Arabidopsis thaliana: one gene and its partners. The protein of the gene in region 2 interacts with the protein of the main gene of each other region in a pairwise test. Each region holds a gene or a part of one and is shown on either strand. Other genes may lie near its edges.

Region 1 (6,577 bases), on a different chromosome or scaffold from region 2:
CTCTTCTAACTTTTCATTGAAATATCCAGAGCGGTTGCCATTCCAGAAGAAGGTTACATGGCCAAACTTCACAGTCTCACTGTTTCAGTGAAATAAAATTTTAATAGGTTAATAGCTGAGAATTCATTCATTATATGTAACTAACCATCAACGGTATAATCTCATCAAGAAAAAGTGAGCTAGGAGATTTCACTAGTTTTAATCAACAAACAACCCCCAATCATAAATTAGACCTCTACCGAGCAAGTAAAGAAGACTGGATTACTCTTATCACAGTTTCAATTATGAATCCAATTCCAGCAAATAAATAAACCAGGAAGCAGCAATAGAAGAAAATGGCAAAGACAATAACTAAAGATTTGAGAGATTCTAAAAGTTAACCTGCAAGCAAAAGTACGAACGCCATTGTGTGCCAGATATTCACCAGAAGTTCTGTCAATCAATGGTGGAGAAACAAGATAGCGGCTAGGAAGCTTAAGCTCTCCATCATATTGGAGCATTCCTGCATAACGTATATCAGGGACACGTACGCGATCAAACTTGTCGAAATCTTTGTATTCGAGGGCCTTTGCATGCATGACCATTCGATCAGCACGGAAATTGAATGTAACAACTGCGTCACCATCAACAATTGGACCCACAGCCTTTCCATTATCATCAACAATAACAAACGAAGGCAAATACTGGTCATTGGCACCAGGTTCTGCCCTCAGTGTCTTAACTGCTTCAAGAGCGCTTTTAAATTTGTGGGGAGCTTCCCCAAGGACTTGTGCATCCCAACCTCGTTTAACAACACTCCAATCATTCTGCAAGGAAGGAAAGCAAAAATTGGATTCATTTCTAAACTAGACTAGACAAGGCATGACATTCATACAAGATCTCACAAGCATTGCCTACCTCATAACGGTCCATTGTGACATACATTCGACCTCCACCAGATGCAACCTGAGCATCAACACCTTTCGCACGTAAAGCAGCTAGGTCAGCTTCAAGAGTTTCAACAAATCCGACACTAGAACCATCCAAAACATCACGACCATCAGTAAGAATATGGACGCGGATTCTCTTAGCACCACGTTCTGCAAAACCCTTAAGCAGCAACTGCACCAAACAGAACCAAATTAAAGAAAATTAACAAACGCCAACGTTTCAAAAGAAATGTGTAACAGATGAGAATTAAGTACCTGGACTTGATCCAAACGAGAGTGAACTCCACCATCGCTTAGAAGACCAATAAGGTGCACAGTGCCTTTCTCAAAAGATTGAGAGATGTATTTGAAACCTTCATCTTCATAGATTTTCCCTGAAGCAAGGGCGAGATCAACAAGCTTAGCACCTTGAGCGTAAATTCGACCAGCTCCAAGAGCATTGTGGCCAACTTCACTGTTTCCCATGTCGTCTTCGCTGGGGAGACCAACGGCGGTACCATGAGCTTTGATCAACCTCCATGTGTCGGGCTTCCCCTGTGAAGAATAAAATCGAACCGTTGAAGTCCATAATCGGAATCCAGCGAAATCATCGAGGAAAGAAGTGGATATAAACAAAAAAGGAAACATACGTCTTTAAGGGAATCCATGGCAGGAGTTGGAGCTTTATGGATGCAATTGTATTGATCGGGATCAGATTCACCCCATCCATCGAGAACAATCAAACCGATAGTTTTGCCTTTGGGAAGCTTGGGGTGGTCCGCAAGTTTCCAGTTAACGTCGCCGGAGCTACCCATAACTGTGGATTCAGATCCACTCGTCGGTGAGAAATTAAAGGTTTAAGGAACAGATCTGAGAAGCGAGAGAGAGAGAGATAACGGAAGCTTACCAGCGGAGAAACAGAGGAAAGCTTCTCAAAGAGTCTTATGGAGATTCGCAGAGACAGAAGTGGTTATGTGGTGAAGTATGGTAGGTTGAGAGCTATCACTGACATAATATGAGACTTTTATAGAAACATAGAAATGGAAAAGTTAGCGATGACGTGGTACCAATTTAATGGGCTTTACTTTGGGCTCAAGTAAACATTGTGAAGCCCCCAAAAAAATGGAAGGAGACGAATGTTCTAGTTTTAGCTGCTATGAACGAATGTTCTGGATCATGCCGTTTGTAATAGTCATGGTGTGCGCCATGTAAAAAAAATTGTATATACCTTTTTATTTTGGTCAACGTAAAAAATAGCATACAGAAAAGGTCAAACCGGAGTTAACTTAATAGTTTATACGGTATTTGAACCAGAATTTGATCAAAAATGGGTAAGTTTTAGTAACTGGGATTACATTAATTTCTGTTGACAGTAACTTTTTTTTATCTAAATCATTATTTAAACCTTGAGATTGCATTAAATCAAACTGAAATTACACGAAAACCAAACCGAAAACTCATGTAAGAAATTCAGGGTTGTGCACATTTATTTATTCAATATCATCATAATATTAACTGGGAACCTTCAAAAGGTTGGTAGAAGGCTAAAAAACAATTTCTAATGGGCCAAAGACAAAAAGTTGAGTTCCTATATATTGGGCTTAAAAAGCCTGAAACTAGATGAGACGTGGTTCATAGTCAGATAAATGGGCCAAGGATAAGGAAAGACAAAAACAAAAGTAGAAAAGAATCATACAGTATACATATATGGGAAATATACAGAGAGAGATACAGATAACACAATAAGAGGTAGACGGACAACTGTTACGGCGAAATTGAATGCCGCAATGTATCAATATGATTGGTCGAAAAGGAAAGTAAAAAAAACAAACAAAATATTAAATTTTTGTTAATGTGTAAAGGGAGAAAAAATCAGATGAACAGGCTGTATCATTTTTTTTTTTGTGAACAAATGGGACTGACGACAACACTCTTCTTCTCCTTTTTGTCCTTTTGGCTCTCTCCTTCTCTCCTTTCTCTCTCTCTCTCTTTTCCACCGGCGACCATTCATTCTCTCTCCTCCTCCTCCTCCTCCTCCTCCTCAGCTTCCTCCATTGCTCCTTAACCCTCATTCCTCGATTTGTTCTTCTCTTCACCATTTCCCCTTTTTACCCTTTTTCTACTCAGACGTGACGGCGACTTTTTATTCCTGTGTCTCCCACCTTTGACTCGCCCTGGGGGGATTTTTTTTTGCTCCAGAGGCGAAAGAAACAAAAAAAAGCAATGGGGTTTCTCCGTTGTCTCCAGCTGCTGCTGCTTCTGTTTCTATCTCTTCGTCTACAAAAGCTCTCTGCTCAATCTTCTTCACCCAATGCTTCTTCTTCTTCTTCACTCGATGCTCTTCTTCAAGATTACTCTTTTAGAGCCTTGCTTCGTCCTCGTACCGGCATTCTCTACGAGGCTACTACTGTTCCTTCCAATTTGACTGGGATCAAACTCGCTGCTATGAGACTCAGAAGCGGAAGCTTTAGAAAACGTGGAGTCACTCCTTTTAATGAGTTCTCAATTCCCAGCGGCGTTATCGTCAAGCCGTATGTGACAAGGCTTGTTTTGGTTTATCAAAACCTAGCTAATTTCTCTCACTTGTATTACCCTTTGTCTGGTTATGATTATGTCGCTCCTGTCTTGGGTCTTCTCGCTTACGATGCTAAGAATCTCTCTGCGCTTAATTTGCCTCAGCTTGATTTAAGGGTGTCTAATGATCCTATCAGAATCGATTTCTCTGATCTGGAACGAATCCCGCAAGGGTCTAGTGCTAAGTGTGTTAGATTCGATTCTAAAGGTGAAGCGAGTTTCAGCGATTCGATTCAGCCTGGAAACACATGCGAGACTGAGCATCAGGGACATTTCTCTGTGGTGGTGAAATCTGTGGCTTCTGCTCCGAGTCTAGCTCCTCCTGGGATTGAGAGTAAGAAGAAGAAGAAGAGCTCTGATTCCAATTCCAAGACTTGGATCATTGTTGGGTCGGTGGTTGGTGGATTGATACTGTTGGGGCTTTTACTGTTTCTGGTTTTGAGATGTCGAAATTACAAGAAGCAAGAGAAAATGAGGGAGATGGAGAGAGCTGGAGAGACAGGGGAAGCTCTGAGGATGACTCAGGTTGGTGAAACAAGAGCACCAACTGCTACTACGACTCGTACACAACCAATGCTTGAAACCGAATACGCAGCTTAGGATACTTTTGTGTACATCATCATCATCATCACATCTTCTTGATCATCTGTTACTGTCTTTTTCTTTTTTTCTTCTACAATTATTCTTCTTTTGGTAAAGTGTTTCTTTTTCTGATTATTTTTTCTTTGTGGTAAGCAAGTTGATACTTCCACATTCATCTTGTTTCTCTGCTGGTGATAAGGAAATAAGTAATATTGTTTTCTTCTTGTGCTCTCAAATTAACAAACTTTGGTGGTCTCTCCATGAGAATGAAAAGAGTTGGATTGTTTCTGGAGTGCACTCACTTTGTTTTCTTCTAACTACTTTTGCTGTAAAGCTTTGCCCTTTTTGTAATAATTTCAACATCTTTTTGTCTGAGAAGCAGACAGTTGAAGAAGATGTATATCATCCTATCATCCATACTCAACTTTGTTACATTGAGCTTAGCATTCTTCAAAAGGAACTAGTGTGTTCTTGAGATTTGTTGAGTTTTAACATTTTTTGCAGCTATCTGCTTCATGCAACTTGTTGACCCTCACATTTATATTAGAAGATCACCGATGAACCAATAGATTTTGGAACCAAAGAGGTTAGAATCCGGTAGGATATGTAGAAGATGATTTGCACTTGGCAATGTTACAACGTTTATGTTTACATCTAGGATTGTCTTGTTTGCTTACCTTATATGAAAAGTCATCTCGTTCATATGGATTTTTTGCATTCTACATTTTAGAAAAGCACCGTTTGCCACTTCAGGTATGTAACAATGTGCACAGCTACAAATCTTTGCACTGAACAGATTTGGAATAAAGTTTGAGTTAAAGTGAATACATGACTTGGTTAATCCTGGCTTGGGCCATCTTGTGGCCTCTTGCTCATATCAAGTAAAATGCCATGACAACAACGTTAATGGCTAAGTTAGCATTGCAGCATCTCCTCTGACTTCTGCAGATACCAGGAGATTTTTTGTCTCATCATTCCAAAATCTTAAGGTTGAAAAAGAGATGAAGTAAAATGTATAAATGCGGTATTAATTGTGTTTCAAGGACACACAAATAATTGCCAGTTTTTGTCAAAAGGAAACTATAGTTGTAGAATATTCGTCTCTTTTCTTCTTTTTCTGTTATCTGTTCTATTAGAAAGCTAAAGAAATACATCAAAGTCAGGTCTCAACGGTAAAATGAAAACAAGCTTCTTTTTCACTAAAGAGTAAAAGAGATTCCTCTCAACATTGGTCTTTCATATTTTTCCTAGCTCATATTCTGGTGTGGTTGATCGAATCTTAATGAACCGGAGAAAATAAAAGATTTGATTATGTAATTTATCATAATCAAGAGCTTGTTTGTGAACACATGAAAAAGTAAAGGAAAGAAGAAGAACTCTCTCTGCCTGAGGAGTTGTAATTTTTGGCAGAAGCTGGTGTCGTTTTAAAGAGAAATTAGAAGTGAATCTATGTAGTTGTGTTGGTTGGTAAGATCGATTTAGTTACATTAAATAAAAAATATTCCTTTGAGCAAAAACAATTAAAAAAGATAGGTTTCGTCACAAGGTGGACCATTTCGAAGAAGAATTAAGAGACGAGCCCACTTGAAAGAGACATAGCGAGGGGACCCCATGTGAATCTGCAAGCAGAGACAGAGGCTTTGACCGTTCTCATTCATCAACCATCCTCCATTATTAGCCAGAGTCATAAACCATGTGATTCATCATCACAAGGCTTCATTGGACTCTCTCATGCATATTCACAATCTCCACTTCCATCTTATACAATTCCAGTTCCTACCCGCAACAAATCCAACACCTGAAGATGATACTGATGCTTTTGAAAGTATAACTAGGAATGAGAGAAGTACTAGGATGAGCCATCTTTCCAGATATTCATTTATTCACTCACACAGCAAGAGAGTAGTTCAGTGTATCATGCAACTTAAAAGCATACAAAATATCACGAATAGAGAAATATTGATAAACCAAATGTTATTGAGGTCTGATTTCTGAAAGCTTTAATATGTCCAAGGAAAATCAAATGGGAATGAAAGTACTAGATCCCCCAGCTTCTTCTTCTTCTGGAATGCACTTTATTTGTCACCACAAGTGGTCACCTTAAGCCCCTACATCACATCACCATATTACTCTCAGAGTTAACATCGCAAGCCAGAGGAGAAGAAAAGAAAGTAGTGAGAGGATTTCGCATGCAGAGAAGAAAGAACATCACTGTCCTAGAGCTTCACATTACAAAAAATAAAAACAGCTCCAAAAGATTATCAATAAACCAACCATAACCAGGACCTCAATCATTCCTAGACAGGGCAAAAACAAATAAAACAAACCACCATCCAGAAGCTTCCAGTGGTAAAACAAAAACTAAGCAGAAGTGCCTAGGATAATTTATCGAGTACCCAAAACTCAGGATATGATTCATTTCTCTACACAGAATAGCAACCAAACCAGGAACCCTGAAGCCTCAAACTGACAGAGAAGAGAACTAAGTAGTAACAAATCTGCTTGTTGCTTAA
Region 2 (6,830 bases):
TTTTACCCGCTGTGGGTCTCAATCGCCTCGAATTGTCGTAAAGATATCCATAACCAAAACGTCATTATATGGCCAGGAGCAATTGCCGGTCCAAGAAACGTCGGAATCCCAAGAATCAAAATCTCGGCCCAATGCGCATACGGCGATGCGTATCCGATAGGTGATGTGTACTCATGATGGATTCGATGAATCTTCTCGTAACCCCATTTGCAATGCATCCATCTATGGATCCAGTAGTTAGTGTAATCTTCTATCAAGAAGTAAACCACTAATTGTGCTACTATCTCCATTAACGATGGTAATGGCAAACCACTTCGAATCCCAACCATCTGTCAATTAACACATATAGTATATCTCAAGAACATCACAAATTAACAAAAAAAAGTGTTGTAAGAAGGGTATATACATATATGCAATAATATAACGTTTCAATTTAATATTTTAATGGGATTTTTCTCTAAATAACCAAAAAAAAAAGCACAAAATTGTATAACAACCCACTCACACAAAAAACGTTGCAAAAACAACACTTAAAAAAAGGAATATACATATATCATAAAATATTTGGTTGTTTGTTTTAAAGAATAAATGAAAATTTAAAATGAATAGTAACCTGGATGGAAGGATAAGAAACGATTTGCAATGTGCCGACGACGAGAAGGAACAACTTCATGACTTCTTTATAACATTGGAACATATCAGACAACGAATACTTAACCTTCTTCTGAATCTTAAACTGATCGAACCAACCGGTCCATTCGACAATCACAAGAGGAAAAGGAGCTAGTGAAAAGACAAGGAAGAGAACCAGAATGGTGTGGCAATATACATGGAAATTGGATTTGGTGGCTGAGTAATCGAACCAAACCGTCTCGAACCAAGTAAGGTTTCGTCCTAACGCCACGGACGCATCTTCTACGGTTGGATAAGGGATCATATTGTGAGAGTGTTGTGTCTGGATTAATTTGTGTGGTTTATGTTATAGCATTGTTTTGGAGTTATAGACTCATAAAACGTGTCTTGAATGTGTTTTGGAAAATGTATGATGAGGATGCTTGAAAAACTATATAAAGATGCACAAATGTCGAAACATGGTACCTACTTAATTAATTTCGGTGATTTTTCTTTTTTTTTGATTTTTCCAATTTTTGGTATATTATTTACCCTTTGAGAAGTCCGCCAAATTGGGTCCTCAATGTATTTGTTTTTTGACTTTTTAGTAGAACACAACAAAACATATCTTATCTCTTTACGTCTATATTTGATACGAACGGGTCACATTTTCGTTTTTTAAAAATATAAAACGAAAATTCAAAGTTACTAAGGTTGTTATTTTTTAGTAGTTATTTAGGTTAGAAGATATCTAAAATTGTATGTTCGGAAATATTTGTTGCAAATTCATTTATAGACCTATCATCAGGAGTAATTTCTTTTCACCAAATGATTTTGAATAGCTAAAGCCTTTCTTCATTGTTTAACAATCTACGAAACGAAGAGTGATGATCCATACGTCTAGAAAAGAAAAACTCGTTGATACACAAAATATGTGTGGACAAAAACTTAATATCAAGTTCATTAAAACTCTTTCGTGAATTGGTTTAAGAGTAAAAACTTATTGAAGTAGTTTACAATATAGCCTCATTAAACCAAAAAAAAAAATATAGCCTCACACAGCTACAACCCCATTCTTGAAGTTATTATCATATTCACTGTGTCCATGGTAATTCTAAGACAACGAGAACAAGGAAATGTGTGTTAAAGAAAAACTGTGTGTTGTTAGGTTTAGTTGAAAAAACACAGGAAGGAAGAGAGTGTTTCGATTTTAAAGTCATAAATTAGTTGGTAACAACTAAATAAGTTATTGTACCTACTACTGTACTTAAAACTGTTGTTTTCAAGTTTGGTGAGACAGCTTTAGTAAATGCATGTGTTTCGCTTGTTTTAGCCTTCTTTGATTAGATTTGTTTTCCGAGAGTGAAATCGACCCCCATCATCAATGCAACTATCGTTATGGTAAGGATTTTCCTTTTAAATCATGCCACTCAAATGCAACAAAAAGGAAAAGAAACGCCCACCGTGGGGCTCGAACCCACGACCACAAGGTTAAGAGCCTTGCGCTCTACCAACTGAGCTAGACGGGCCTTGTTGTTAACGTTAGATACTTAAGTTATACTTAACTTAACTTAATACTATCAGAGTAGGAACTTGTTACAAGCCAATGAATGCACTATGTAACATTTAAAATATACAAAAAGGATTTATTGACACACACCAATTCCAAAAGAGTTTTAAAAAAAACTTCAGATAGGAACTCGTCACGAGCATTTTCATGTGACACAGGGAAGACCAGAACAGAGAAAACTAACTACCCTTTCATTTTTAAGTATTGACTACATTTGTAGAATGCTTGAAACTTACGGTAAGTCAACCTCGCGAGGGGTTTTAGATTTACTAATCGAATTTCTCTCCTCCATTAACCAGCTTGTTGCTCTTCTTGGACTTCTCCTTCATCTGCAACTCATAAGATATAGCATCAAGAAACATATCATCAATATGATGATACTAGATACCACATATACTGTTATGTGAGCTTGCAATTTGATGGCTGCGTTTATGGGTATGCGGTATGCCGAGAGATAAGCTAGTCTCAGTTTATGGAGTATTTATTTACCTGCTGAAGAAGCTTCTTCTGGAATCGGTAACCCTGATGAAAATAAGAACATATACCCACATTGTCAAATTTTTATCCAGAATTAGTAGACGCTAACCGGAAAAGAACTGAAGTTTCATTACTCACTTTATCAGTTCCATAGATGTAATCGCAGTAAGTAAAAACTGAAGCAAAGTTACTCTGGCTTTGTCCTCCAACGTAGTGATGGTAATCATGATACTCAGCTCCACCATAAAATGGAATGTACTTTGTCAGAGACCATGGGAAATCATATCTTCAAAAGAAAACGAAAAATAAAAAAAACAAGTCAATTTATCTCCAGAGAAACAAGTTTCATGCACCAAGCAATCATCATATTGTCCAAATACTTATTTGAACAAGACAAGATGCTTATCATCTCAAGAATGATTTCTTGCTCATGTTGACCACAAAAGATTAACTAAGCAGTCTCTAAACAATCACCTAGAGCTAATTACAGTCAATAAAGCATCAGAAAAGGCTAGTGCCTAACCTTAGCCCCACCAACAAAAGGTAAACGCACTATTGAAACTTCCCACATAGCCCCAACGCATTATAAACTAAGATAAACAATTCAAAACCATTCCTTTTCCTTACCCGCTATGAGTTTCGATAGCCTCAATCTGTCGTAAAGCAATCCACAACCAAAAGGTAATCATATGACCAGGAGCAATAGCAGGTCCAAGAAACGTGGGAATGCCAAGAAGCAAAACCTCAGCCCAATGAGCATAAGGAGCAGCATAACCAATAGGAGCTGTATACTCATGATGAATATGATGAAACTTCTCATAACCCCATTTACAATGAAAGAATCTATGAACCCAGTAATTAGTATAATCCTCTACCAAGAAGTAAACCACTAACTGTGCTACAATCTCCATACATGATGGTAATGGTAATCCACTTCGTATCTCAATCATCTGTTTCAACACACGAAAAACAAAATCAACCTAAATCGCATCAATTCCGAAATTAGAAGCCAAATTCCAGAAATTAACCTGAATCGAAGGATAAGAAACGAGTTGTAATGGACCAACGACGAGGATGAACATCTTCATGACGTCTTTGTAACATTTGAACATCGATGAGAATGAGTTTTTCACTTTTGGTTGGATTTTGTAGCGATTGAACAAATCTGAGGTGGATTGAGATGATTCGATGAAAACGAGAGGGAGAGGAACGAGAGAGAAGATGAGGAAGAGGAAGAGAATGTTGTGGCAGTAGAGGTAGTAATCGGATTTGGTGGCGGAGTAATCGAACCAGAGAGTCTCTAGCCATGTGAGGTTTCGAGATAATGCGATCGACGCTTCTTCGATTGTTGCGTATGGGATCATTGTAGAAGATGATGAAATCGTTTCCTTCCGGTGACGGCGACGGTCGTTGACGTGAGATTGAGATTGAGATTGAGAGAGAGAGTGAGAGAGGAGAGTGTCGTCGTTGTTGTTGGATTTTGTCTGTTATGATTTGGCGAATATTTGGAGTAGTGACGTGGCATTATCGGTTTAGTTTACAAGTGTGATGTTTACTTGTTGAACCGGATTAAACCAAAATTACTAACATTGTCTCAAGATCTCGCTTACAACATAAAAAAGAGGGACAAAATGGCCCATACTAAAAGCCCATTATAAATTATTGGGCCATTAAAATGGATAAAATGTACTCCACAGTAGCGTTGTGTTTGGAGTAGGCCCAATTTTCTTTCTTTAATTGTTTAAATGGTGCATACAAATTTCTGTTTTTTTTTTTAAGAAAAAAAACTTTATTATACACTTGGATATACACATATATATAAAGACACGGATATACATACACGAGTTTTGTGGAATGTGTCTATGAATTTTTATGACACCATTATACTATAGAGATAGCAAAAGGTTGAAATAAATTGAGGCTGTTGGCCAATTGTATTTAAGTAATAGAATGGTATTACATCATCACGAAAAGTGACGTTACATTTGAAATTATAAAGTCTTACAATTTTTTCGTCATGACAATAAATGATATTTAAATGTAATAATACATATTTTTTAAGTTTCAAGTATACATAAAAAAGGGTCACAAACGATCGTTGTTAAATACTTGGTGGAAAACAAGTGCGTTACGCGTGAACATGAGTGCGTATGGCATAAGAGAAGTCGACCACACCATTAATGACTTTAAATCAAGCCCAAAAGTTCTTTCTTTTAACAGTGGAAACAAACCTCGGACCAATCTCAGCCACACAAATTCTCCTTTTTATTTTATGTTGTTTTTTCTTGACGTTGATGAATTCTTGTTTTTGGTTATAAATTTTTTATATTACTTCCATTACTCAGCACTTTCGTAAAATTTAATGAATTGATGATACTAGTTGAGTCTCCCTCCTCTCTAATTGTTTATGTGTTTTTTTTCATTTGTTTATGTGCTTCTCACTATCACCTTAGATTTTTTGTGTTTTACGAAACTTGTTTGGGTTTCTCGTTTTCTTGTTTAACGTGTCAACTTTTCTACAAATCCAATAGTTTTGTTTCCTTTACACTTTATAGGATTGTGAGTCTCCCAAGTAATCTTCTAAAACAATGCATCAAGAAATTTATATTCATTTGTACAAGTATATTATTGCCTTTTTCCAACACATTTTATCCATAATAAGGATAGATTTTTTAAAAAATACTCCGTATGCTAACCAGAAAACATTTTAGCTCCATAATTACATAGAAGTTTTAATCTAATACAGTGCTACAATTCAACGCATTTCTATTTTACTATAATAAACACAAGTACGTAAGAATCAGCACAAGATATCATACTATAAAAGAATCGATCGTCGACAGGAAATATAAATACTATATTACAAGAACCACGTCTATATTACTACCTTTAATCGTGTATTTTTTTTGGTCGGTTTGAATTTAAATGTTAAAATCCACACTTATGTTAAAAAGAAAAAAAAAAACAATTTGATTTGGAAAAACATTTGAAAAATACAAATGAAAGAAAAGAAGATAATAAAAGAGTAAAGCAAAGCAAAAGCAGAGAATAACTCTTAATTCGCTTCTTTGCCAAGCAAACCACCAAAACCTCTCAATTGTTTTTTCTTCTTCCTCCTCCTTAAGCAAAGATCATCATTCACGAAATGTCTGATTCGATTCACCGGAGAAAAGTTTCGAATCCTGTAGGAAATGGAGGTCGGAGCTCCAGAACAAGACGAACAGCTTTCAGATATGTTTCCGACAAGAATAATCGCTCTAAATCGAGTAATAAGGTTTTCGAGAGAAGCTTCTCAGAGCCGAGTCTTAATCGCCACCGCGACGGACAGAGTAATCACTTGCGGCGACCATCGCCGATGAGAGGTTTACCGATGGAAGAAGAAACAAAACCGATCGTTTACTTGCCTAGGATTCGCTCTGAGGTTTTCGCTTCGTCTCCGTCGTTGTTGAACTTATATTCGCCCTCGTCTTCATCTCCGATCAATCAAGAGGTCAGAGTCGTTTGCTTCTATTTTTTCAAATCAACAAATTCATGATTTCAACTCTGTAAGAGAATTCATCATTTAGTCCACAAAGATTTAAAAGTTTACAGTTTAAGCCTAATATTATAAAATATTTCAATATAACCATTATATAGGCTGAACAAAGAGTTTTAAGTTCAGCTGCAAATTCTAGAGTCAGTTCTCCAGTTCATGTTATCAGATCGTGATAAATATACCAAAAATTGACATTTCTATTAAATTTCTAAAATCAGAGAACCTCATTTTGTTATTATTTTTCGAAACAGGGTAATACAAAAGAAGCACCAAAAGTAATAATCAGTGTAGCAGTAGAAGGAAGTCCTGGACCGGTAAGAGCAATGGTTAAACTGAGTTGCAACGTCGAAGAAACGATCAAAATTGTCGTTGACAAGTACTGTAAAGAAGGAAGAACTCCAAAACTCGATCGAGATTCTGCCTTTGAATTGCATCAGTCACATTTCAGCATCCAGTGTAAGATATATTAATTATCCAAAAATAATAATTGTTTTTACATATAGAATTAATAAAATAAAAGCACAAATGATGTTTTGGTTGAAATTTTGAATCAGTTGTTTTCAGTTTGACGTAGATTGATTGGATTAAATATCTATACTCCATGATATCTAGTTTTGCTTTAATCACCAACGGTTA
Region 3 (8,773 bases), on a different chromosome or scaffold from region 2:
ATTTACGGAAGATGGATACTTCAAGACGGGAGATGCTGGAAGAGTGGATGAGGATGGATATTACGTGATTCTAGGACGTAAGCAGAACCTATAAGTACATTCAAACACAATTTAAAAGTACTTTGTGTTCCTTCATTTAACATCTTATCTTATCTTCTCTGGTGTCGATCAGGTAATAGCGCTGACATTATGAAGGTTGGAGGATACAAGTTATCTGCCTTAGAAATCGAATCAACCCTTCTCGAGGTAACATTAACATCCATTTGAGTTTTTTTTTGGCTCTGTGAAGCTATCAGAAGCTTTTATCTCCTTGGGAAATAGGCTTTAGATAACTGAACCGAGAGAACTTAATCGTTGTATGATATCTCTGGGGGATGTGTTATGCAGCACCCTACTGTTGCAGAATGTTGCGTGTTGGGGTTAACAGACAACGACTATGGAGAAGCCGTGACTGCGATAATTATAGCAGAGAGTGCAGCAAAGAAGAGAAGAGAGGATGAGTCAAAACCTGTAATAACCTTAGAAGAACTGTGCGGTTGGGCTAAAGACAAGCTTGCTCCTTACAAGGTACTAAAAATCTGCCAAAGTGTTGTCAAAACGCGCAACAGTCTTGTCAATCTTTTTTTCTTTTTTTTTCTTGTCCATAATATTCTGTCTTTTCAGCTACCAACAAGATTGCTGATATGGGAGAGCTTGCCTCGCAACGCCATGGGAAAGGTAGCTATATTTCTCTCAAATTTTTTCTTTTTTCTTGAATGATATCAGAGATAGTTGTTTTGTTGTAACCAATAAGAATCATTCTCAGTGTATGAGTATTTTTTTCGAGTTGCAGGTGAACAAAAAAGAGCTAAAGAAATCTCTGGAAAATCAAGAATAAAGACAACCATGGATTTCATTGCTACTCCTTGTTCTTTTGATTATATGACACGTATGCATAAAATGTAATTTCCTTCTTTCCTGTATCATGTACTTTGACTCAATAATGTCAAGAATCAATACCAAATTAACTATTTGAGAAGTAAATCTTTGTTATATACTATTTCTTTGTTTAGTGTGAAGAACAACAAAATTGTATAGTGTGAAAGAAGGAAAGTTGACCATAGTCTTTGACTCTTTGATGCTAAATCAGTAATCATTCCAAAAGGGTATAATGGTAATTAACTATGATGATCCGATAACCATATATTCCCACACGCAAGTTTGTTTTGTAACGAGAACGTAAAAAGACGAAGAAGAAGGGACAGTATGGTAGATCCAACGATCCATAACACGACGACGTATCTCGAAGAGATAGCAAAAGGAAACGGGCAAACCGAGTTCGAGATTTTAATCTTGAAAGGCTTAGAACTCATCCATGTCGGGAAAGGGATCTTACGTTGTAAATTACTTGTCACAGATCATGTCGTGGTAATAAAATTTACTTAATCCAACGAATCTAGTTTTAAGCTTCCTTTTTTGTGTTTTTGATTGGTGAACGTTATTATTACTAAACAATGCGAAAGATGATTCTCAGGGAGAAGATGGAAGTTGGAATGCGGGAGTGATTACGGCGGTGATGGACTCGATCGGAGCGTCAGCTGTGTACTCCTCCGGCGGCGGACTCCATATCTCTGTTGATCTCAACTCTTCGTTTTATTCAACGGCCAAGATTCACGTTCGCTTTCCCTATCCTCATTTTTCTCTCGTTTTTTTTGTTATGAAACATGCAAACTACTAAATTAGGTAAATTACTATTATTAGTAATGATTAGAAGTAATAATGATAAGAAAAAACTACAAAATTGCAGGAAACGGTAGAGATAGAAGCAAGAGTGAATGGAAGCAATGGAGGATTAAAATCAGCTGTGATTGAGATTAGAAGAGAAACAAGTGGAGAAATTATAGCCACAGGAAGATTGTGGATGGCTCCACTTAGCGTCAAAGCCATACAAAATGTTTCTACTCTTAGTAAGCTTTGATTTTTTCTTAATTTAAGTGATTCAATTTCCCAAAGTCAAAAACACCACAAATCACCATTTTGAAAATTTGATTCTCTTCAATCAAATATCATACACACAATGTTTTTTTTTTTTTTGTAATAATTAAATAAACACACGACCCATTAATTAACATCAACCTCTACATCCTAAGAAAATCCAAATCCATGATATAATAATCTAATTACATACAAATATATAGAATTTTATAACACACGTACACCATTTAATTATGATCAACCAATTGGTCTTAGTTTAATTTAATAACTTCCTCTTCTTCTTTTCTCATACCATTAACCTTATCATTCCTCACCTGATCCACCGTAGGACCATAGGACCAGCTACACACAACGTAGTAGATGACATTAACGAAGCTCAAGATCGCTAAAACCCAATAGTAATAGTCATAGTGACCCTTGTTGATGTTATCTTCAATCCAGCTCACATTGCCCTGCTTTGAGCTATTCTTTACCGCATTTAGGATCACACTAGCCAAGATATTAGCCACTGCCATTCCTAGACCGAACAACGAAGCTGCGATACTCGACATGCTTTTAGGAAACTCGGTATAGAAAAACTCGGTCTGTCCTATCCCGGTCAAGGCCTCTGCTAAACCGTGTAGTACATACTGTGGTACAAGCCACATTGCTGAGATGCTCACTGTTGAGTTGGCATCGTTTGCGAGTCCTTGGCTTATCGCGGTTTTCCTTCTGTAATGTTCAACAGTTGCGGAAACCGCCATTGCTAAGAATGATATGAATAGCCCTAATCCCATTCGAATCTTGACATTGACTCTAACTGGTCTGCCTCGGATCTTTGAAGCTAAAGGGAGAATTGCGCGGTCGTACAGAACAACCCATGAGATTAAGGCTATGATTGTGAACATACCAAACGATCCAGCTGGGATTTGGAAGGTCGAATTGCTGCTTAAACGTCTGTCCATTGATTTAGCTTGAAGCAACTGAAAAGAGTTCTGGCTAACGTTTATCGACATCATTATCCCCGTGGACCATACCGGTATCACCTTGACCAACGCCTTGAGTTTCTCAACTTGGTCCGTTGTGCATAGCCTCCACTGGTTTAAGGCCAAACCATCAGAACCAAGGTCTTCATCGCGGTTACTTATGGCACAAGCTTTGTTTAAAAACCTAAGCAATTGCAAGAAAGTATCAATAAATAAAAAAACTAACCAAGAACTATATATGTGAAACTGATTTCACTTTACCTCAATTTGTCACTTGGAGCTTTGAGTTCAGAATCTTTCAAACGGTAATAACAATCTCTGGAGTCATGATGATCCGGCAAAGTTAAGTTTCTCTTCACGTAAGCTGCAGCAACCACTTGAGCTAAACCAGTGAACAGACTCTTGCTCACATCGCGCTTAACGTAGAGAGGAGACGCGAAAACAAACAAGAAACCCGCGAGCAGCATGAGAATCGCGGGTATTCCAAACCCGATTTTCCATCCTAGATGATCTTGAATGTAAACAATGACGGTGAAAGCGATCAAGACAGCAACTGATGAAGAAGCGTAGTACCAACCAAAGAAACTCTCAAGAACTCTCTCGTTCTTAGGATTCTCTTTGTTGTCCAATTGATCAGCACCAAAGGCTAAAGAACATGGCCTGATTCCTCCTGATCCAATCGATATTAATGCGAATGCGGTATACAAGAGAGCCAATTGAGAAGATGTCGCGGAACTGCAGTTGGTTCCGGCTGTTGCTACACACGGTGATGGTTTTACTTGCGGCAACATCGCCGTTAGCCATAGAACCACCATCCCCTGTAACATTTTTGATTCAGACAAATTTATTAAAACAATGTAGTAGGTTAGATTTTGACGTTTTTGTTTTTCATAATAAAAATGTAGTTATCACTTCATTCGTAAAATCTGTAGATGTCTTCCAAAAAAAGTACTTCCAAGAACAAGAATCCAAGTATTAGATCAGAATCTACACGTACGTCAATTGTCACATCCATCATACGAAAACATTATTTTCTTACGGAAAATGATTGATACTCGAGATGAATGATTGATGTAGAGATTTCAAAATCAATTGATGTCACTATGTATATGATAAGTTTTTTTTTCCAAGTGGGTGAAATAATAAGTTTGATCAAGAATGGGACAAGTAGTACAAAAACATGGGTCACCAATCGATATTGCTTTCATGTCTAACACTTATATGTTGGCCAAAAAACTAATGTCAAATCCTTAAATGGTGGCAAAATGTAGGTCCACGTCAGCTTGACCCATATATTTGGACATATAAATAATGAAACTCTAAGTCTACATACAACAAAAAGTAATAACAAAATGATATTTTTTATACATAGAGAGATGCAAGCAGTGTGGTCACTCACAATCACACAAGTTGCCAGAGAAAGCCCACAAGACCATAACCACAAGGAAAGCAACAAACAAGATTTTAAGGAATTAATAATGATATTAAATACTTTATGATTATTTAAGACCTGTTATTATATAAACTCACATGGACATTTCAGAACACCTGGCTTCGAATTTAATTTTACCGACTTTTATATTTTTGATGGACACAAATATTAAAAACAAATCAAAGCGGGTTTAGTTTCTCCATTCATTGGACAGCAATTTCAGGGAAGCACATGCAACATGTGAAAATTTTGACTCTTAATGGAAAAAGGCTTCTAAAAAGCTTAATCATATCAACTCTTAAATTAGAAATTTCACTGTAGATGATTATCATTAGATATTATAGTACTTAAAGCAGAAATATACAGCTATCAATGATTTAGCAAAACCAACGGTAAAAAGTTATAAAATTTTAGTAAAAACCCCTGAAATTTACCATACCAATCTTTTTTTTACTATTTCGAGAATATAAAATAATTAAATAATTACATACAAAACCTCGTACCATTTAATTCTTGGCCCTTAATTCTATGACTTGGTTAGATTTTATGGAATTCTCTTTTTGTTGTCGACGCAAGTAAAGTCAAGTCCAATTATCGAAAACTATCAAACCGGAATTTAACTCCAATTATCAATGCATGTAAGTAAGGTCCAATTGTCTAAAGCCAAGTAATAAAACACTGAATACAAGCACGATATTTCACCCAAATCAACTTAAACCGAAACTTTCGGTTTAGATTCCCAATTTTAATAAAACTCAACCTTTACTGACAGTAAACATAAACAAAGCATTTCCAAACCAAAGGCTAACTAGGTGGTGAAAAATGTTGAGTCAAAGAAGTGGCTAAAAAATTGAACCGGAGTAAACCGGGAGAAAGAAGAAGCGTAAACCGGTTAAATAGGGGACGGAAATTACCAGGAGACTGGAGAGAGAAGCAATGACAATGGTGAGAAAGCGACCCAAATATGAATCTGAGAGAAAAGCTCCAACGAGAGGCATGAAATTAGTAGCAGCAACCCACATGAACAAGACAGTTTGTCCTTTAACAAGTCCCAATCTGTAATCACTCATCAGATAAAGAATCATGTTCTGTAATAATCCATAGCTCGCCACTTTCTCGAACCCCTCGTTTGCTTCACCGAGTAACAAACAAGATGAGATAAAATTAGTAACAAGATTTGGGTTTTTGTCTAAAAAAGTGAGAGAGATCGTTTGTTACCAATGATGAAGGGCATAGTGAGAAGACCACCCTTTGTTCTTCTTCTTGTAATGGGTTGTTGAAGAGTCTCCTTTGACTCTGTTTGATCCGGAGGGTTCTCCATTGTTGTTACCTTTCAAGCTTCGAGAGAGGGGAAGAGAGAAAAGTGAAAAAGAGAAGAGAAGGAGGAGAAGATCTTTGTCTTTGTGAGAGTTTTGAGTTAATGCGATCTTATTTTTCAGTTCAGACAGCGAGGAATCTCTGTTTTCTGCGACGAGTGAGCAATAATAAATGGCTGTTATTTAAATACTACATTTTCTTTTTCCCTCAAGGCAAATTGTTTTTTAATTTTTTAATTTTATTAATTAATTTATCATAATGATTTTTATAGAGTGAGGTTTTATCCTATATGGCACACGACAATTTTCATTCTTAGTTAGAACTTAGAAATGATTTGTTAGTAGTATGAAAGAAAAAAAGTTAGATAAAACGTCATTTTCCTAATCTTAGCTAAATACAAGTTGAAACATAAATGCCAGAAATATTCGTTTTTTTGTGAAGAAAATATCTAAAATGGAGAAGATTAACTTACATAGATATTTCAAAAAGAAGAGAAAAGAAAAAAACAGTACATTGTACATCAAACTTCCAATGTTCCATCATCCATGTTACTTACGTCAAACATAAAATGGTCTGGTGTTATTGACTTATTTTTGAAATAAATCCAATTTATTATTATTTATGTACATTTCAAATTAGTTAAATATGTTAATGTTATATACTTCGAAACCATAACTATTCTATAGATTTTTTGATGAAATAGTTGTTGGAAGTGAATTTGCAATGTAGAAGAATCAATCACAAGAATTTCAATATTGTATTATCTTCTAAAGATGTCTTCTAATCAGACTTAAACTCTTAAAAAGTTTATGAGAGCTTCAACTATATCATTATACTGTAACTAAACATGTAAATGGCTTTCCACAAATCACATCCAATTATCGAAAGGAACGGATCAAAAATCATAACAAAAGTTTACTAATAATTGAGAATGGAAAACATCCCATGAGGTTAACAGCTTTTGTTTTGGCTCTCTCTCTTCCTCTTTTCTTGACAAATTGAAACTTTTTGTTATTCAATTCTTTTTTTTCAGTTTAAAGTTAAAAAATGGATTCATTAAAGTAAGTGCAATCATATATAAAGTTTTTTTTAATTCGCTTTCTCCTTATCACACTAATAAGTCAACATCTCAAAGAGTCGGCCCAAAGAATATAATAAAATAATAGCATACGAAAGTTTACCAAACCCATGTAACAATTGACCTCATGAATAATAGTTTATGTTTTAACAAAAATATGAATAATAGTATATGTTTAACTGTATAATTTTCTATGTATCTAAGAAGTTTCGGACTTTACGATGTATAGTAACTTCGACCAAGAGATTAAATTAGTAGTTTTCCCTGCTAATGTCGACTTTAAGACGAACCCCATCTTATAAAGTTACTCGTATCTAATCGGTTAAACTATCCATTCCAAATTAACAATTATATTTTCTTATGTGACTTAATCCAAATAATGAATGCAAAGAAAACTAACATTCATTATTCACAAAACATTATATATTGCTAAACAATATCATACTGTTAGATTCTGAGGATATAAACTACTGTATCAAAATACTTATCACTAATTTGTGATTCTATATCCTACAGGCTATATATCATTATACGCTAAGTAATTACGTTTCCAAGTTAAATGATACAAGTATTTGAAAGTTTCTGCCTAAACCAGATTATAAGTAAAGTACTTATGTTCAGTACAAAATTAAAAATGGTGCAACCAGATTTGAATGAAAAAGTTCGTACAAAATTAAGTGCGGTGTCTGATGATGGCAGAAGACTCGCTAGTAGGAACCAAAAATGAAATTTCATTATCCAAAAATTTATTTGTGGTCTTTCATGCATCCACATGAACAGTTTCAATACCAAATACCTAATTTAGTTTTTAAAAAAAATCGTAATTAATCAATACATCAAGAATTCAACATTAGATTATCCTGCTATTAAAAAAATCTCTTAAAATAATTTCTTAGAACATTAGAATAATTTAAAAACAAAAAGTGAATAAAAAGCCATAATGATGAGAGTGACATGGTCATTTGCCTTGCACGTGGGTGTTTGGATACTCTGCAATCTCCTTTTTGACAAACTTGTTAATCCACACTACTCATTATGTCATTTCATTTTTAATTTGTGATCATCATAACTACTTAGCCTCGTCGTAACAACTTAACCCAAGAAAATCAGAGTTAGATCCAAATAAAAGTGATGGGACACTTTAAAGAAACGAAACAAAAAAAAAAACACTGTGGATAAAGCAAAAAGCAAATGGTAACATAAATTGTTTTTACTATATACATTTCGGCGTTTGTGAAATAATACAGTCGAAAGAAATGGTCTCTAGGTTAACACTATGCATAGAATTTGGTGAGAAACATTACAGAATATATTTCATTTAAATTCGGTGTTCGATAATGTTGTGAAAGAGTGAATGTAGATTGTGGACGAAGATAATTCTGGGACACTTCCAAAAGAAGAAGACTGTAGAAAATGAATTGTCTCTGAAACATTATTATTCAAAGATTGCTTGACTTACACGCCACCTCCTCATTTTTCCTCCATTTCTTACTTCAAGAAGGAAAGGTCTATTGAGGTATGTGTCAGGTTTCAGACTTATTTTTTCTTCTCAAATTCAAAAAAAATATATTATTTTGTCAGACTCATTTTTCTCACCTACTCTACTTTCTTATTCAATGTTCTCTCTATTTTTTTTTAGCTCTGTTCCAGTCCCTTCTCCATTTACACACAAGCTAATTACCTTGTCTTCTTCTTGTTGTAATTTATTAAAAATTTAGAAGGTGGGTATTTTGTTACTTTGCTATTGAATTGGTTGTTATGGAAATTGTTGGATATTAAGGTCCAGTCTGTAAATTGGAGAATTTTAATGTCGAAACTATTTGAGTTATTTTCGCATACTGTAGTTACAAGTATCACGTTTTAATAACTCACTGACCATCAATCCATAATGTCATTTAACACAAAAAGCTGCGAGGTATAAGCTATATACGAAAATTGGTTAAATTAATAACTTGATAAAAGAAAAAAAGAAGAAAAAGTATATCCTAGTAATCAAGTGAATTTACG

What was found.
Region 1: the proteins of SMO1-2 (region 2) and AT3G08600 interact in a protein complementation assay, tested with the Arabidopsis thaliana proteins (one large-scale study listed by BioGRID).
Region 3: the proteins of SMO1-2 (region 2) and AT3G16180 interact in a protein complementation assay, tested with the Arabidopsis thaliana proteins (one large-scale study listed by BioGRID).

The regions. Positions count from the first base shown.
Region 1 is NC_003074.8:2,609,515-2,616,091, forward strand, and holds AT3G08600 (transmembrane protein, putative (DUF1191)), read left to right. Parts: upstream 1-2,660; 5' UTR 2,661-3,131; coding exon 3,132-4,082; 3' UTR 4,083-4,504; downstream 4,505-6,577. Other genes in the region: iPGAM2 (Phosphoglycerate mutase, 2,3-bisphosphoglycerate-independent), read right to left, coding at 1-79, 382-806, 898-1,101, 1,185-1,463, 1,559-1,723.
Region 2 is NC_003075.7:11,952,673-11,959,502, forward strand, and holds SMO1-2 (sterol C4-methyl oxidase 1-2), read right to left. Parts: upstream 4,247-6,830; 5' UTR 4,024-4,246; coding exon 3,688-4,023; intron 3,610-3,687; coding exon 3,287-3,609; intron 2,946-3,286; coding exon 2,798-2,945; intron 2,705-2,797; coding exon 2,672-2,704; intron 2,512-2,671; coding exon 2,452-2,511; 3' UTR 2,168-2,451; downstream 1-2,167. Other genes in the region: AT4G22755 (methylsterol monooxygenase 1-3), read right to left, coding at 7-329, 614-937; AT4G22758 (PPR containing protein), read left to right, coding at 5,805-6,149, 6,446-6,650. UniProt on the Arabidopsis thaliana protein: Non-heme iron oxygenase involved in sterols biosynthesis by catalyzing the removal of the first methyl group at the C-4 position. 4,4-dimethyl-9-beta,19-cyclopropylsterols such as 24-methylenecycloartanol are the preferred substrates.
Region 3 is NC_003074.8:5,479,252-5,488,024, forward strand, and holds AT3G16180 (Major facilitator superfamily protein), read right to left. Parts: upstream 5,937-8,773; 5' UTR 5,693-5,936; coding exon 5,590-5,692; intron 5,504-5,589; coding exon 5,286-5,503; intron 5,280-5,285; exon of another isoform or gene 3,766-5,279; intron 3,758-3,765; coding exon 3,201-3,757; intron 3,124-3,200; coding exon 2,226-3,123; 3' UTR 2,074-2,225; downstream 1-2,073. Other genes in the region: AAE13 (AMP-dependent synthetase and ligase family protein), read left to right, coding at 1-77, 173-246, 388-567, 664-717, 833-877; AT3G16175 (Thioesterase superfamily protein), read left to right, coding at 1,246-1,407, 1,514-1,654, 1,787-1,957. UniProt on the Arabidopsis thaliana protein: Low-affinity nitrate transporter involved in xylem-to-phloem transfer for redistributing nitrate into developing leaves. Not involved in dipeptides transport.